Struthio camelus: one gene and its partner. The protein of the gene in region 2 purifies or fractionates together with the protein of the main gene of each other region. This does not show direct contact. Links are inferred from orthologs where the notes say so. Each region holds a gene or a part of one and is shown on either strand. Other genes may lie near its edges.

Region 1 (7,134 bases), on a different chromosome or scaffold from region 2:
TTGTTTTTACTTCTAGTAAGGAGTCTTATTTATTTACATTGCTATTCTTTTGTAATCATGATTAAAGTTTTGTAGAATATGTAAGGTACATATGACATTCACCTCACCAGTTCCATATGGCCAGATAACATGGTTTAGTATAAACGAGGCTGGAAAAGCATCCCTTAAACACTGGGTCACAAATGCTCCCAGGCCGGATCCGGTACCACCAGCCATGCTCATTATTGTGAAAAATCCACTGAGACGGTCACATTTCTCTGCTTCTTTTTGTACCAGATTCATGATTACATCTTTGTGTTTAGGCCCGTGAACAGAGTAACTGTTGAATAACAGAGAAGGCAGCAAGACATGGCAGATTCTATTAAAATAAAAGCAATAACATCAACCTATTCATAAAGCACGCTTTTCTTTTTATTAGTTATATAACCTACTATTGTGTCACCAATTCTACCTGTCAGAAACAATCCTCAGCTGTGACATTTGTGTTGTAAAAAAAACAGCTGTTTGTAAAATGTGCTTGTTGTTTTCTCTTTTTTAATAATATTCATCACTCAGTTTTAAAATATTCTTCACTGTGAATGCCAATTTCACGTTGCAAAAAGCAGTCAGAAATTTTGCTATTACACATATTGTTACTCTGTCGTAAAAATAAAACAAGCTAATGTTACAGACTCTGTACTTGCACAGCTGCAATAATACCATTCCTACAGCGTCTAGTCTGCTCATCACCCTCCACAGTTATGTTAGCAAAGCTTGAAATGATTGTTCATACCCATTTGCCCAGTTGTTCCCGGACCCTTGTTTCTGACAGAAGTGTGATCGATCATCATATTTCCAGTAGCCAGACCTGGCAGCTATGGATAAGGTTTGGCTGATTACTTTGGGTTCCATGTCAACAAGCACAGCCCGGGCAACAGGTACTGGAGAGGAAGAAAAATAAAACTAAGAATAATATGCCAGTCTTAGAATTTGTTTACATAAGACAAACAGACAGACAGGCTTGTACCAAGGCCCAAACTGTATTCCTCCCACCCATATAAACTGAACTGTCAACTTCAATGGGACAGTACAGAAAAGTATGGAAAGCAGAACTTGGCAACATTCCAAGTTTCTAGAGCACCACCTATTGTTCCAAAGAGATCTGAACTCCAGAGACCTTTCATGAAAAAAACTATCCCTTTCATAACACAGAACTGGGATTTGATATGACCATGCTCCATGTTATTATCTACATAAATTGGAAAAAAGGAGAGGTTGGAAGGAAAGATTTACGTATAGGTAGCTCAGTTTCCAGCTCTGTTATTGGCATACTTGCTCTGTGGCCTCAGGTGCTTTACTGCACTGTGGTTTTGCCTTTGTAAGTGGCCTCATGAGGACAGATGGTTGTGACAAGTCTTTAAGAATGAAGGCAAAATTCTTCAACCAAAGTAAAAGTGTATGTTATTTCTGTATTCTTAACTATGCTAGGCTAGAAACAAGACCCTCTGTGGGAAACAAAAGTCTTTAAACGCTGTACCTCCAGCTTTCTCCTCACTGAAAAAGCGTTCTTTGCAAGCGTCATGGTATGATTCATTCTCCTTCTTGGAACACAATCCATGCGTGCCATGGACGTCACTGCAGATAGCATTAAACACCTCGTGCCCAATTTGATTACCACACTGACCAAGCTGGACTGTGACTACTGACATTCTTATTCACTTTGTATTTAACCCTAAAAAGGAAAAGCATGCCTTTTAGTTATTCTGGGAAAAAAAAAATTCAGATCAGTTTTGTAACTTTTGCCAACTCTAGTGAGGAGGAAAAGGCTATGCTACAACAACTGCTTGTTCCTGGGGAAATGCTGTCTGTAAGACTTCATCCTGAATGTCAGAAGAATCTCGGTGACCATTTAGAGGAAGCCAGTCTGTTTACTGTTGCTATATATCTTAACAGAACTGAAATCAACCATACAGCAAACAAAGTTAAGTCTCTATTTTCTCACTTTCGCTTAGTAAGGCAGAGTAAAAAATAATCATTAGAAATCCAGCAAAGCCCGAGGATGAGGCTATAAGAACATAATAACTATACTAAGAAAGTACTAGATGCCTTTAGAAATGTGCAGCCCATTTGCAAAGCCAGCTGATTTCCAGTCCTACTGCTGGGGGCCTGATGCCAAAACCAGCTGAAGTGACAAAACCAGCTGAAGCCAAACCAGCTGATGCCAAAACCAGCTGAAGTGACAAAAGAGTCCCCTAGAGCATACTCCTTCCTCCAACCAGAGTGATACTGGCATGCTTGGCCATTTTTCCACTCAGTTTTTTGCTGTAACTCTGGTTTCTCACTTTTTTCTTTTTCCACAAAGACAAGGTCAATATTTGAACTCACTTCATTATTCTGGGCTGCTATTTGTCATTATCGTCCCAGCTGTGCCACAGCACATCTGTAACGGCGTTCTTGGGATAACCACCAGCTCCTGTAATTCGATCCTGCCGCACTTTGTAGGCAGGTATGTGTTTTTTGGTTTTGTTTTTGCTTTTGTTTTTGCTTCCTATGCTGGATTTCAGCGTTTCTGCTAGTCCGCACCTCCCCCCTTTAAAGCCAGGCCGCGTATCAGAGTTACTCCTCGCGGCAGGAAATAAATAAAGCTGTACACGAGCTTCCGAAAATGCTCCAGGTGCGGCCGGAGGGCAGCCCCGGCTCCCCGGCCGCCCGCGCCCAGCGTCGGCACCGCGCCCCGGGGGGCGCCCGCCCGCCGCCTCACGCCACAGGCCGGGGCCGCCATGTCGCCGCTGCTGCCCACCTCGCGCCGCCACCTCTCCCCTTCCAAAGCCGCTTCATCCTCGACGACCCCCGCCCGCCCGCGCCTGCCCGCGGGCACAGCGGCCCTCCCCAGGGTGCTGGTCCCCCCGGCCCGGACAGGGCCGGCCGCCCTCGGCCCCGCTCGGCCCCTAGCTCCCCTCAGGGCTGACCTCGACACCCCCCGCTGAGGCGCTCGGGGGGGGGCGCCCGACAGCGCATGCGCGAGCCCCTTCCTGCACGAGCCCTCCGCTTCGGCCCGACACGCGCCTTCGAACAACCCGCTTCGCGCATGCTCAGAGGGAACTTCGGGCAGGTCGGGGCGAGGGTCAGACGGGCGGGCTTCACGGAGCGCAGTACGCATGCTCGCAGCGAAAGGCCGCCTCTTGCCCTCTGCGCACGCTCCGTGCCAGGCTCAAGGGAGTTGGAGCGCGTGCTGCGCATGCTCCGCTCCGGCCCCGAGGGCTGTCACCCAGCGGGGTGCCCACTGAGCATGCTCAATGCGGCCCCTCACCAATGCCGGGTGACGCAGTGCGCCTGCGCGGCGCCGGGAGTCGGGGCGGGGGCGCAGGCGCGCTGAGGCCTGGCAGCCGGTGATGGCGGCCGTGGTAGAGTTGGGGGGTGCGGGCCCATGAGGCGGCCCAGGCCCCGCGCACTCAGCACAGCGAGGAAGGGGCGGCGGCGCCGCTGCTCACACCCGCGCCATGGCGGGCGTCTTCGACATCGACCTGGACCAGCCCGAGGACGCGGCTTCGGACGAGGAGCTGGAGGAGGGGGTGAGAGGGGGGAACCCGCGCCGCGGCGGGAGCGGGAGGAGGCCGCCGCGGGGCGCGGCGCCGGGGCAGGCCTGAGGGCAGCGGGCGCGGCGGCCGCCCGAGGCCGCTCCCGGGGGCCGGGCGGGCGGGTGGGAGGGAGGGAGCGCGACGCCGGCCGCCGCCGCGGCCCGCGCAGGTGAGGAGACCGCGCCCTGTCCCGGCCGCGCCGCGCCGCCCTGTCAGCGCCGCCGGTGGGAGGCTCCGCGCCGGCCCGGCTTCGCCGCGGCTCCCAGGCGGCGGGAGCGGCAGGTGCCGGCCGCAGCCAGGCACCGGGCTGCAGGCGGCTCCCGGCCGGGGCTCCCCGCCGGTGGGGGCCGCGCCAAACTCGCAGGAGCTTTATTCCCCCCCACACCCCCTACCCACAAAAGTTTGTTTTTGGATTTTCTAGCACAACGGTGTCGCAGTAAGGGTCTTGTGGTTTTTTTTTTTTTTTTGCTTTTTCTTCTTTTTTTTCTCGTCACGTTTTAACGGCAGTGCAGAAATGCTGATCGTTCTGGAACTGTAGAAAGCCCTTGCTCTAGCGCCAAAATTAAATGCGGAGCGTTCAAGTGCTGTGCTAGACGCCTATGCAGATCAGCGCGCCTCCCCATCTCAACGCTTTTCTTGCACAGTTCACCTTGTAACTCGTACTTCGTCGTTTTAGTGTTTCATACAGATTCTGTTAAGGCTTTGGGGGAATTTTATTACAGCATTTCTGTTTCTATTTTTCTAGTGCTACTGTGGCTTTTTATATCATTCTGTATGTTAAAGTTTTGGTATTGCTTAAAGTGTTATTGCATTCATTTTATGCTGTGTAAATCTTAATGACGTACTTAGAATCTCTGAGATAACCCAGTGCTCTGTATCACAGTTGGAGTATGTACACTGTACGTATAAACTGCGGAGATATTATTTGACAATGGAAGGCACATAGTTTCTCGACTTGTAGGAGAAAACACTATCTGTGACCTCAGTAATCAATAAAGTACCTAGCTTAAAAAAAAGTCACCTGCATCACACTGTTAATGTTGCCAAGAACAGGTTCTAAGGGGGACTGCAAGAAAAGTGAATTAATTCTCCCTCATGTTCCAATAATTCAGTCTTAAAGTGTAACTCTGAGGAATGATTTAAAGATTTCATTAGTTATTGTGAACTTTAAAAAAAAAAAAAAATATTTGTAGCACAACTTCTATGAATATGAACGTTCATTGGCGACCTGACTCGGTTCTCGGATGGCACAAAAAATGAATGTTTGCCTGTGATAGCCACATTCAATGTTACATGCTTGCTTCTAGTGTTTGGAGAAATGTCAGTAAAATAAAATCAGCAGAGGAATTAGGTGTTTGGAAAACAGATAAGGAAAAATTAGAATGGACCTAAAATTAAAACAGAACCAGAAAGCAGAGACTATAAGAGCAGGAAAGAAGGGGAAGCATCAGAAAAGTGTTCTGGGAAAAACGTTTAGCAGAAATCTATGTCTACAGGCATTGTGCATGTCTTTCAAGGGTCAGAAAGACATTGCAGACTGAGAGGTTGAGATCATTAAATTCAAAGTGAGCAAGGTGTAAAATCAGGCTTATCTAGTCTAGTCTGCCCAGAGCTGGGCCTTTGCAGCTCCTGAAAACTGTAACCCTCGTAGCCTCAAGGACAGAGCAGTTGTAGTTTTACACAGGCATGGCTATTCTAGAGCAACTAGAAGTAAAACTAGAAGTAAAAACAAGTATTTAGGTGGAGAGTTTACTTGTAAGTGATATGGTTGTTTGCACTAGTTATTACAGTGAATAAAACCTTTATGTTTTTGTTTGTACTAAATGAAAGAATAACTACAAACTGAAGGGTTTCTAGCCAGCATACCATTTCATTTCTTGGTTTTGTTAAACAACAAGAGAAAAAGTCCTTGCAAATAACGGACCAGTATCTGAAGTGAATTTTGCTTACGTTAGTATTGAGAACGAAAGCAGGGGTAAGAATAGCATGCATAAGCTTTGCCAGAACCAGTGGGTAACTTCAAGAAGGAAAAAAATCTAGAAATGTAATGGATATTTATTCTCCATCTCTGATGAATTTTTGAATTTGGTTTTTGTCATCTAACGGTAGAGTCAAGGGCAGCTTTGGTGTATTTTATTGTGAAACAGATGTCAATAAGCTTGATTTCTCTAATAAATGTTATCAAGAGGACATGAGCTAGCAACTTTCCAACTTGGAAACTGACTTGAACTTTTGGACTCTGTAATTGCTGGTGGTGCTAGTAGGTCGAACCAGAAGTTAAATTCCCCTCCAGCTCACCCACCAAAATATACCAGCCTCTGTAAGCTTTAGTGTTTACTTGGTTTGGAAGCTATTGAAAGTTCATCATTTTCTTTGGCTAGTGTTTTCATTTACATAATATCCAAAAATGTACTCCTTAGCTTAGTCTGCTTTTTGCAGATCTCTGTATGGCTTTTTTCGTCTAGTTCTCTGTGGATTGCACAAGTCATTCATTATATCTGTATCCAGTCCTTAGAGTCCAGACTGTTTCTCACAAACTTGGCAGTCTCTATTTTATGTATATATTTTTAAAAATAAAAATGTAACGCATTAGGAAGCTTACACACTAAATTCTCTTTGTTTTCATTCCAGCTGTCTGCTTGGTTTGCACTTTTTTGCCATGTAGAGTCACAATTAAAGAGGGAGATACTATATCGCATTTCGTAGGAATCAAGTCAAAAATTCTTTTAAGAAAGTATATCTTCAATTGAACTACATTCTTTAACGATGTCTAGTACTTAGGTTGACGTACTGGAGGCTCCTTTATTAATGTTTGCATGCCTTGATCTATCTGAATGATTATTGATCAGTAGAGGCATTTATCATGAGAGTAAAGCTTAGCTATTTTGCTACTATTGACATTAGCTAATCATCAGTATGGAATAGTAAAGCCTTCTCAATCAGTTGTTGGTTTCTGGTTTGCGTGAATACCGATTCCTCTATTTACATAATCTTGATTACTTGATTATAGTTCTAATTTGCATAATACTGTAACAGGAATTTAAAATTCTTATGTGAAAGCAAATGTAAAAAAAAAATTGTAGTACCTTAAAATTTTTCGGGATCCCTGGGGGGAAGGGAATGAAGTTGTTACCTGTTGAGTAACAGTGCAGTCAGGTAAAACAGTGGTTCCCCATGTCATTGAGATACATGGAAATGTCGCACCTCTTCTGCAGAGTTTTGTAGATGTCTTATCTTCTGGTGATAATTCATTATTCTGATGTTTGGACTAATTTAATAATAATAAAAACTAAAAAGTTATAAAACACATCACTACGTTTATTTTTAACACTGCTTTGTTTCTTACATTATAATTAATCTTCCTTTTACCCCTCCCCTCCCCAGGGACAATTAAGTGAGAGCATGGACCACGGAGGACTTGGCCAATATGACCTGTAAGTTGCTGCTAGAAAATGTTCTGTATCATTCATACCAACTACATATAATCTCTAAGTATATCGACATGTTTGTTAAGTTCAACAGAAAATTTTGAGTTGTTCCTAGTTGTTCCACTATTTCTTCACGTTAAAGTTTGTGA
Region 2 (7,958 bases):
TCTCATTTCTCAATAGCCTCCCCATGCAGATTAAAAATTATATGTATATATATACACATCTCTCTCAGATATTCTAGTCTGACACATGACTGAAAAGTGCTAGAAATCAACAGAATTAGTTATTAAGCTAAAATAAAACTTCAGTGATCCTTTTTAAAACAAATAACTGCTTTTACAGATAGGACCTGTAATACAAGGACAATTCACACAAGAATAAAAAAAAGTGCAAGGAATAGATTAGCGTGGCAACTTAACACAATTCTTCTCAGAGGGGGCTGGGAGCCATCCCCAATTCACCCAAACATCAACCCTAGTAACCCCCATCCACCCCACACTCAGTCATACCAAGAGCTGAGTAACTCTACATGTGTCACGAGCCTCATCTTAAAACAAACCTAGAAAGAGAGGGTCAGGGGTACCCAAAGACTAGCTTCAAAACACACCATTCCTCCTTTCTGGCATGGACTTCTGCCCGTCTAGTCATGCTAACCCTAGATCTATCTAGTACCACAAGAAAGAATTCAGCTACCTTAACTCAGTCTAGTAGGTAACTACCAGGTAGTTTCCTCAAGTAAATCTGTCAATTATTTTTCTTCACCAGCTGCGGCTGGGATCTAGGTTTCAAACTGAACATTGATGCAGAAACTGAACCTCTGTATTATGAGAGTTGAGAATAGCAAGCGGCAACGAAGCTGAAGTCTGTATATATGCAAATACTGTTTTAATTAATATGAAGGTATGAATCAAATTTCACTGCAGAATTCCCATGAACAGTACAACATCCAAGTCCGTTTGTTTGCATTCTGCATGCTCTAGCCCCTGGCTGCAAAAAAACACGTGCCAGCAGTGTGCGTTACACTTGGAGATTATTTCCGAGTCACGTTTCTACATAGCCGTGAAAAGCTGTCACCCAGCGCTTACCTCTGTCATCCACAATGAGCTTGTCCATGCCCCTGGGTCCTAGGGTAGTGCGCACAGCTTCTGCGATAACCTGGCAGGCATTGATGTTACTGACGAGCTGGGGGATCCCCTGTGAGGTGTCCGTGCCCTCCTTCAGCAGGATAACGGGTGTTGGCTGAAGAGACAAACCACAGCAGAGCTGTAACTCCAATCTCAGACAGCCCAGTGCTAACTCTGCAGGCAGCCCAGCAAGTTATCGCTGCTCAAAAAGGTATTTTTCCCCTATGCAAGAAACTAGCTGCACAACAGCTCTCTCACTCCCAAGACCAAAAACTGCAGTTCCCTCAAAGGCCTGGTGGCAAAAATAAAACAAAAAAAATCCCAATCCCTAAGCATCTTGCTTTACTGAGCTTATTGACCCGCCTAGAGCTTCAAAGTAAGACTGTGACTACAAAAAAACCTGAGAGAGAGAAGGCCACAAACTGCCACTGTTACACAAAGCAATTCCTCTAAAAGTTTACTTCCACGTTCTCAAGCATTCCGTGTTTGTTTGAAGTTTTATCTTGACTGAACTCCTGTAGCTTCAAAGAAATGTACTAGAGCACTTTTCCATGAAAGGCTGAAGGTTCAACTTTACCTAGAAAGCATTACGGATGCAGTCAAACCGCTCCAAGGCAAGGTGTCACTTGCTTCTATAAAGTAACTGGAATCTACCCAACTGCTTCTGTTTGTATGCCCTTGGACTGTATTGTAACTGTCCACAAAACAAGCGGGCTTCTTTCCCCATCATATAGCTCAGAGAAGGTCTAATTTCTGTGCTACGCTTGATCTCTACACCATAAGAGACAGTATGTGTAATAATTACTGAGGCAGCAGGGAACTGCACAAGCTACAACCCAGATGAGTTACTTAAGTCTCCTAAGATGTACAGCACAACAGGCGCAAGAGCTCTCAGATCACAGTCCAAGCTACCCCAAGGATGGCAACTGCTGCAACGCACCTCCCTGCTCGCAGAGGAAACAGGGGGGATGAACACAAGTGACTGCACCTGCCTGACAGTAAACTGAACTGGACACAGCTTAGAAATACAAGCAAAGCCTACAAGATTTCAAAGGCCACGGCAAACAGCTCTTTGCTGTGCTCCAAGAGCGCAGCAGCCCTTTTCAGGATTTCTAGGAAACGGACTAAACGTGCCTTAAAGACAAAGCTCAAAATCCACACGAACCAGAAGCTTCTTCGGCGCTCAGTTTTAAAGAGCCATCTGCAGCAGAGAGCAAAACCGTACGATGACCGTTGTGCTAAAGAGCAACAAGACCGGAGCCGAGGGCCTGACGGGCGAGCGGAAGACGGGCGCGAGCACCGCAGCCAGAGCTACCTAAGCCTTGGCAAGCTCCCGAACAGAAATCTAAAGGGAACAGAGTCGATTGCATCCTAGGGAAAATCAGGTTAGAGGCAGACACGCAACCCTCGTGGAGCAGCACCGGCAGGGCACAGGCAGGACTCAGCACGGACCGGGGCAGCACCGGGTCCCTCCACGCCCCGAAGCGGGCTGCCGAGCTCAGGCCCCGACTTGAGGCCCCGGGGCGCCACGTACCGCCCGCTCCGGCCTACAACTCCCAGCATGGGCCGCTCTGAGCCCCGACCCCAGCCCGGTGGGCTCGGCTCCGGGCCCCAGGGCCGGGACACCACCCTTGTACACGCGCCGACAGACTACAGCTCCCGGCCTGCCCCGCGCGCCCCGCTCCCTTTCAGCCGCGGCGCTCGCCGCGCAAAGCCTGATGGGAGCGGTAGTCCCGCGGCAGCCCGGCGGCAACCGCGGGCCACTCACGGGCCCGGCTGGTCCCCTCACAAGACAGCGGCGGGGCCGCCCTCACCGGGGGCTGAACCCGCGCCGGCCCCGTTACTAACCCCCGCCAGCAACGGCCCCCGGGGGCGGAGGAGGCCGCTGCCAGGCAGAGGATGGCGGCGGATGAGGCGGGCGCCACTCACCATCATCTCGGCGGCTCTCCCCCGGCGCAGCCAGGCCCTGCTCCCACAATGCCCCGCGCCCGCCCAGAAGCTTCCCGAGGGCGGGAGGGGAAGAGAGCGTTGCTAGGTAACCGCTTCCGGCCGCACTCCATGGTGAGGCCGTAGACAGAGCCGCCCGAGCGAGGCTCCCTTCCTTCGCGAGAAACCATAGAGAGGCAGCAACGTGCGGCGGCGCGGCGGCCCGCAGCTCACTAGATGGCAGGGGCGGGATTGACGGCGGCGTTGGCCAATGGGCGCGCGCGGCGCGGGGGGGCGCCGCCAATGGGCGCGGCGCGGAGGCGGGGGCGGGGGAGCGGCGCGGCGCGGCGCGGGGCGCAGCCATGCTCCGCCGCTCGCTCTGGCTCTGCCTCTGCCTCTGCTCCTGCCCGGCCCGCGGTGAGTCCGGCCCGCGGTCGCTTCCCCCCGCGCCGCCCGTCCGCCTGCCCTGCGCCCGGGTGCATTTCCCTCTCGGGCACCCTTATCCGGGTGCCTTTCCCCTCCGTGCATCCCGGTCTGGGTGCCTTTCCCCTTGTGCATCCCAATCTGGGTGCATTTCCTCTCCGTGCATCCCGGTCTGGGTGCATTTCCCCTTGTGCATCCCAATCTGGGTGCATTTCCTCTCCGTGCATCCCGGTCTGGGTGCATTTCCCCTTGTGCATCCCAATCTGGGTGCATTTCCCCTCCGTGCATCCCGGTCTGGGTGCCTTTCCCCTTGTGCATCCCAATCTGGGTGCATTTCCTCTCCGTGCATCCCGGTCTGGGTGCCTTTCCCCTTGTGCATCCCAATCTGGGTGCATTTTCCCTCCGTGCATCCCGGTCTGGGTGCATTTCCCTTCCCAGCACCTTCGATCTGGGTGCATTTCCCCCTGGAACACCCCAATCTAGGTGCATTTCCCCTCCATGCATCTCGATCCGGGTGCATTTCCTCTTGATGCACTTCGATCCGGGTGCATTTCTTCTTGATGCACTTCGATCCGGGTGCATTTCCCCTTGGGCATCCTGAACTGGATGCATTTCCCCACTGTGCGTCCCTGTCTCCGTGCATTTCTCCTCCTGGCACCTCCTTCCGGGGGCATTTCCCCTCCATGCATCCAAGTCCGGATGCATTTTCCCCTCCTGACAACTCGATCCAGGTCCATCTTCCCTTGAGGCATCCTAATTTGGATGCATTTCCATTCCATGCATCCCAGTCTGGGTGCATTTCCCCTCCATGCACCCAGGTTCAGGTGCATTTCTCCTCCTGACACCTCGATCCGGGTGCATTTCCCCTCTGTTCTCCCCAGTCCAGGTGCATTTCACCCCTAGCCCCTCCATGATCCGAGTGCATTTTCTCCCTTTCCCCTCCGTGCACCCCGATCCAGGTGCATTTATCCTTGGGACATCCCACACTGGGTGCATTTGCCCTTGAGGCACTTGGGTCCGGGTGCATTTCACCTACCCAGCGCCGTGATCAAATGCACTTCACTCCTGTCCCCTAGGAGATCCGGGTTCATTTCCCCTTTTTGTGCACCCCAGTCTGCATGCATTTCCCCCGTCTCCTCTGTGCACTCCGTTTCTCCTCCCAGCACCTCGATCCGGTATATTTTCCCTTGGGGCACCCCAACCCGGATGCTTTTCCTTGCATGCTCAGGACAGAGCCGCTGGAGGCAGGAAGGCAGCTGGCTCCGGGGTAAGAGGCTGCGGGGAGGCAGCAGAGTCCCCTCGCTCTGCCCTCCGCCAGCAACGCCCCAGCGCCCTTTGCAGGTGTTCGCACGGCCCCGAGGGGCTGCTGGCCCTAAAGCATTCGCTGCCTGGCCCCGACTTTGCATCCTGCCCGAATGTCTCATTTCTTGTGCATCGGCTGCCCAAACAGCGCAGGAGGTCGTGGGCCATCGGCCGAGCTATCCGCCTGCGCGGCGAGGCTTTGCATTTTTTTATCACATAAAATCTTCTTTCCTTATAGAGGGAAATTGAGGCAGGGAGCTGTCTGAATTGCCGGCGGTTTACAGAAGGGGGAAACCCCACGTGAGAGAGGCCCAGGGCGCTGGGTGTCGGGACCAAGCAGTGGTTTAAGATGGGAAAAGGCCCCGGCACGACGCACCCAGCTCCGACAGCAGTGGTTCGGGTCCTCCTCCCGCCGTGGAGCCCGGCACGCAGCCGGCGTTACGCAAGGCTGCAGAGGGAGGTCTCGTGTCGCGCTCGACCCGCAGCAGTGGGCGTTGAGCCGGGTGCCTGGATGAAAGCGTGCCGGGAACTCCCGAAACAATTTCGGTTCCCCGCGGCACTCAGGGCCTTCTGCAGTTCGCAAGCGCTGGTTGTGCAGCAGCTGCAGCCCTGGTGCCAAGGGTCCTTCCCCGGCGCTGCATCTCCGGGCCTGCAAACCGGTGTGAAAATGGGTTAAAAAAAGAGGGTCCCCGGGATGAACCACATCTCAAGGCTGTGACTGCGCGTTCGGCTTGAAATCTCACGGGAGGAGTTTGCCGTTGCCGTTTCTTTGCCTCTCATCTCTCTCCGTGCACGCGCAGGTTTACGCATCCATGAATACTTGTATTTCCAAGTGCTGAGTCCCGGAGACATCCGCTACATCTTCACTGCCACTCCGGCCAAGGATTTTGGGGGAGTGTTTGTAAGTATAAGGACCGGATTTGTCTCGGAGCCCCCCCGTCCCTACATTTCTGCGCTGCGGGGCTGGCTGATGTGAAGCCCTTTACCGAAGTGGAGCTGATTGCACGGGCTTCCTCCGAGAGCTTTGCCCTAGGCAGGAGGCACGCGCCCGTCTCTGCCGTTAGAGGTGCTCCCGTTCGATCTGGGCCATGCGAACGCGTTTCTGCCTCCGCACGCGTTCCCTGGGAGCGTTCGTACGTACGGATGCGTGTCCGCACACGCGTGCGCTCCCGGAGCCCTAAGGGCTCCCCGTCTCCTGCCAAGGGGCTGCCCCAATCCGGGGCAAAGCCCGGGGCTGGGCATCGAGAGCCTCTATCGCCGTTCCCTGCCTCGCACAACTCACCGGATGGTGCCGTGCCGCAGTTTCCCCTCCCCACGGTGATGGGGGCGAGCTATTGAGCGAGGTCTGCGGGTTCCCCTCGGGTGGCTCTGCGGGGTCCCACGGCACATCCCGCGCGGGGACGGGAACAGCAGCTCCCCGGGGGCCCCGAGGACAGGCGCCGCGGGGCTCGCGATGGGAAGCAGCCCCGGCGCCGTGCCGCCGGCCTCCTCGCTCACCCCTGCCTGTCTCTTCCTCGGAGAACACAAGGTACGACCAGATCCACCTGGTCCCGGCGGATCCGCCCGAAGCCTGTGGGGAGCTGAATAATGGGGTCTTCATCCAAGACCAGATCGCCTTGGTGGAGCGGGGGTAGGTCCGGCGCCGCGGGACCTCTTTGGGTGGGGGGCACCCAGGGCAGGAGGGGGCTGCCTGCGGCACGGAGGGTGACGGTGCCACGGTTGTGTTAGCAGCCACGTTTTACCGTCGCCTCCAGCTGCTTCCCCGGGTTGCAAAGCTGTCCCGACAGTCTTTTGGAAAAGAGCCTACGCCAAGCTGGAAAAAGCCTTATTTTGGGGGAGAAAGCAGCCCACCAGCACAGTTTGGGCAGTCCTGTTGCTAAAATCCGGTCTCAAGGATGAAAAGGGCTTGGGGGACGCGCGGTGCCGGGGAGCCAGCCCGCGTCTTGGGCGTCTCCGGGCAAGCTCCGGCACTTGCTGTCTGAGAGGTGCCCGGCTCCCACGTCTGTAGACAACGTTTGTGGCTCTGTGCCCCAGGGGCTGCTCGTTCCTGTCGAAGACGCGCGTGATCCAGGAGCACGGAGGACGGGCGGTGATTATCGCCGATAACGCCTACGATAACGACAGCTTCTATATCGAAATGATCCAGGACAGCACCAGGCGCACAGCGGACATCCCCGCGCTCTTCCTGCTGGGCAGGGACGGGTGGGTATCGTGGCCGAGGGACGTGTCTTCGGGCACGGCGCTGCGGAGGTAGGCGCACGTGGGTTCAGCGGGTTTTAGCCGGCCGGCCGCGAACCTGCTGCGGTGTCCAGGTAGCTGCGTTAGCTCCGTGCGTGCCACAGCTCTCTTAGGAGGCTGGAGGCATCTGGGCTGGCATGAGGCTGGTTCTGAGAGCAGATCTGGTTTGGATGGCCTACCTGCGACCGGCAGGTCTCCGTGCCACCCCGGACGCTGTGCAGCGTTTTCCTGGTGTACATCAGCCTTTCCAAGAGACAGCCTTGCCTTTTGAGATCCAGTTCTGGTCACCCAATGCTCTGATCTTCCCAAGTGTAGAGCATCTCGTGGGAAGGGCCAAGTGACAGCCTTGTCCCCATGAACCAGAGGGGTCCCAGTGAGCCGTGTGTCCTGTCTGGGCTTTGTGAGCCAGATTTTCCATGGATTCAGTCATGCTTAATCCACGGAGTTTCTCCTCGAGTTTATTGGCAGCTTGCGTTAACCCATAACGTTCAGGCTCTGCTCTCCCAGCTCAGGGGCTCACATGCGCCTGTCACCTCTCTGTCCTTCCAGGTACATGATCCGGCGCTCCCTGGAACAGCATGGGCTCCCATGGGCTGTCATCTCCATCCCCGTCAACGTCACCAGCATCCCGACGTATGAAATGATGCAGCCCCCCTGGACCTTCTGGTAGCAGCGGGAGGCCACGGAGCATCGCGGACTTCTCGGTGGATCCCAGGAGCTCGCCCCAGGGACCGGTTTTGAGGAAAGAGCCCCATGCGCTCCCAAAAATCCTGCCGCCAGCCTCGCCGGATCCAGCAGCGGGCAGATCTTCACGCTGCCGCTGGTGTCTGGCCAAATGGCAAATGTCAGCGCCCGCAGCGGGACCTGGACGGTGGCATCGAACAACCTTTGTAGTGACTTTCTGGGAGGGAGGTGATGGCCCAGAGCAGAGAATCAGGCCAGCACTTCCCCGAGAAACATTTTTGTGATGCATACGATGCCAGCAGTAGTTTGTGCTGTCAATTTAGAGCGATGCAGTATTATGTGGACACAGTCTAACGGGGATGGGAGGGAGAGCTAGTTATGGGGTCAGTCTGTACTAGCAGGGCTTGCCCAGCGTCTGTATATTT

The links.
Region 1: the proteins of CCT7 (region 2) and TUBD1 purify together in Homo sapiens (co-immunoprecipitation; 3 studies listed by BioGRID and IntAct, counting the BioPlex papers as one, with this or other methods). This does not show direct contact. The link is inferred for Struthio camelus from reciprocal best matches to the Homo sapiens genes CCT7 and TUBD1.

What each region holds. Positions count from the first base shown.
Region 1 is NC_090957.1:18,708,561-18,715,694, forward strand, and holds the start of TUBD1 (tubulin delta chain), read right to left. Parts: upstream 3,074-7,134; 5' UTR 3,070-3,073; coding exon of another isoform or gene 2,949-3,069; intron 2,559-2,948; exon of another isoform or gene 2,365-2,558; intron 1,712-2,364; 5' UTR 1,689-1,711; coding exon 1,517-1,688; intron 921-1,516; coding exon 773-920; intron 359-772; coding exon of another isoform or gene 320-358; coding exon 103-319; intron 1-102. Other genes in the region: RPS6KB1 (ribosomal protein S6 kinase beta-1), read left to right, coding at 3,480-3,551, 6,942-6,991. UniProt on the Homo sapiens protein: Acts as a positive regulator of hedgehog signaling and regulates ciliary function.
Region 2 is NC_090945.1:85,476,976-85,484,933, forward strand, and holds the start of CCT7 (T-complex protein 1 subunit eta), read right to left. Parts: upstream 3,014-7,958; 5' UTR 2,896-3,013; coding exon 2,890-2,895; intron 1,076-2,889; coding exon 922-1,075; intron 1-921. Other genes in the region: PRADC1 (protease-associated domain-containing protein 1), read left to right, coding at 3,249-3,303, 5,412-5,512, 6,132-6,241, 6,646-6,813, 7,399-7,519. UniProt on the Homo sapiens protein: Component of the chaperonin-containing T-complex (TRiC), a molecular chaperone complex that assists the folding of actin, tubulin and other proteins upon ATP hydrolysis.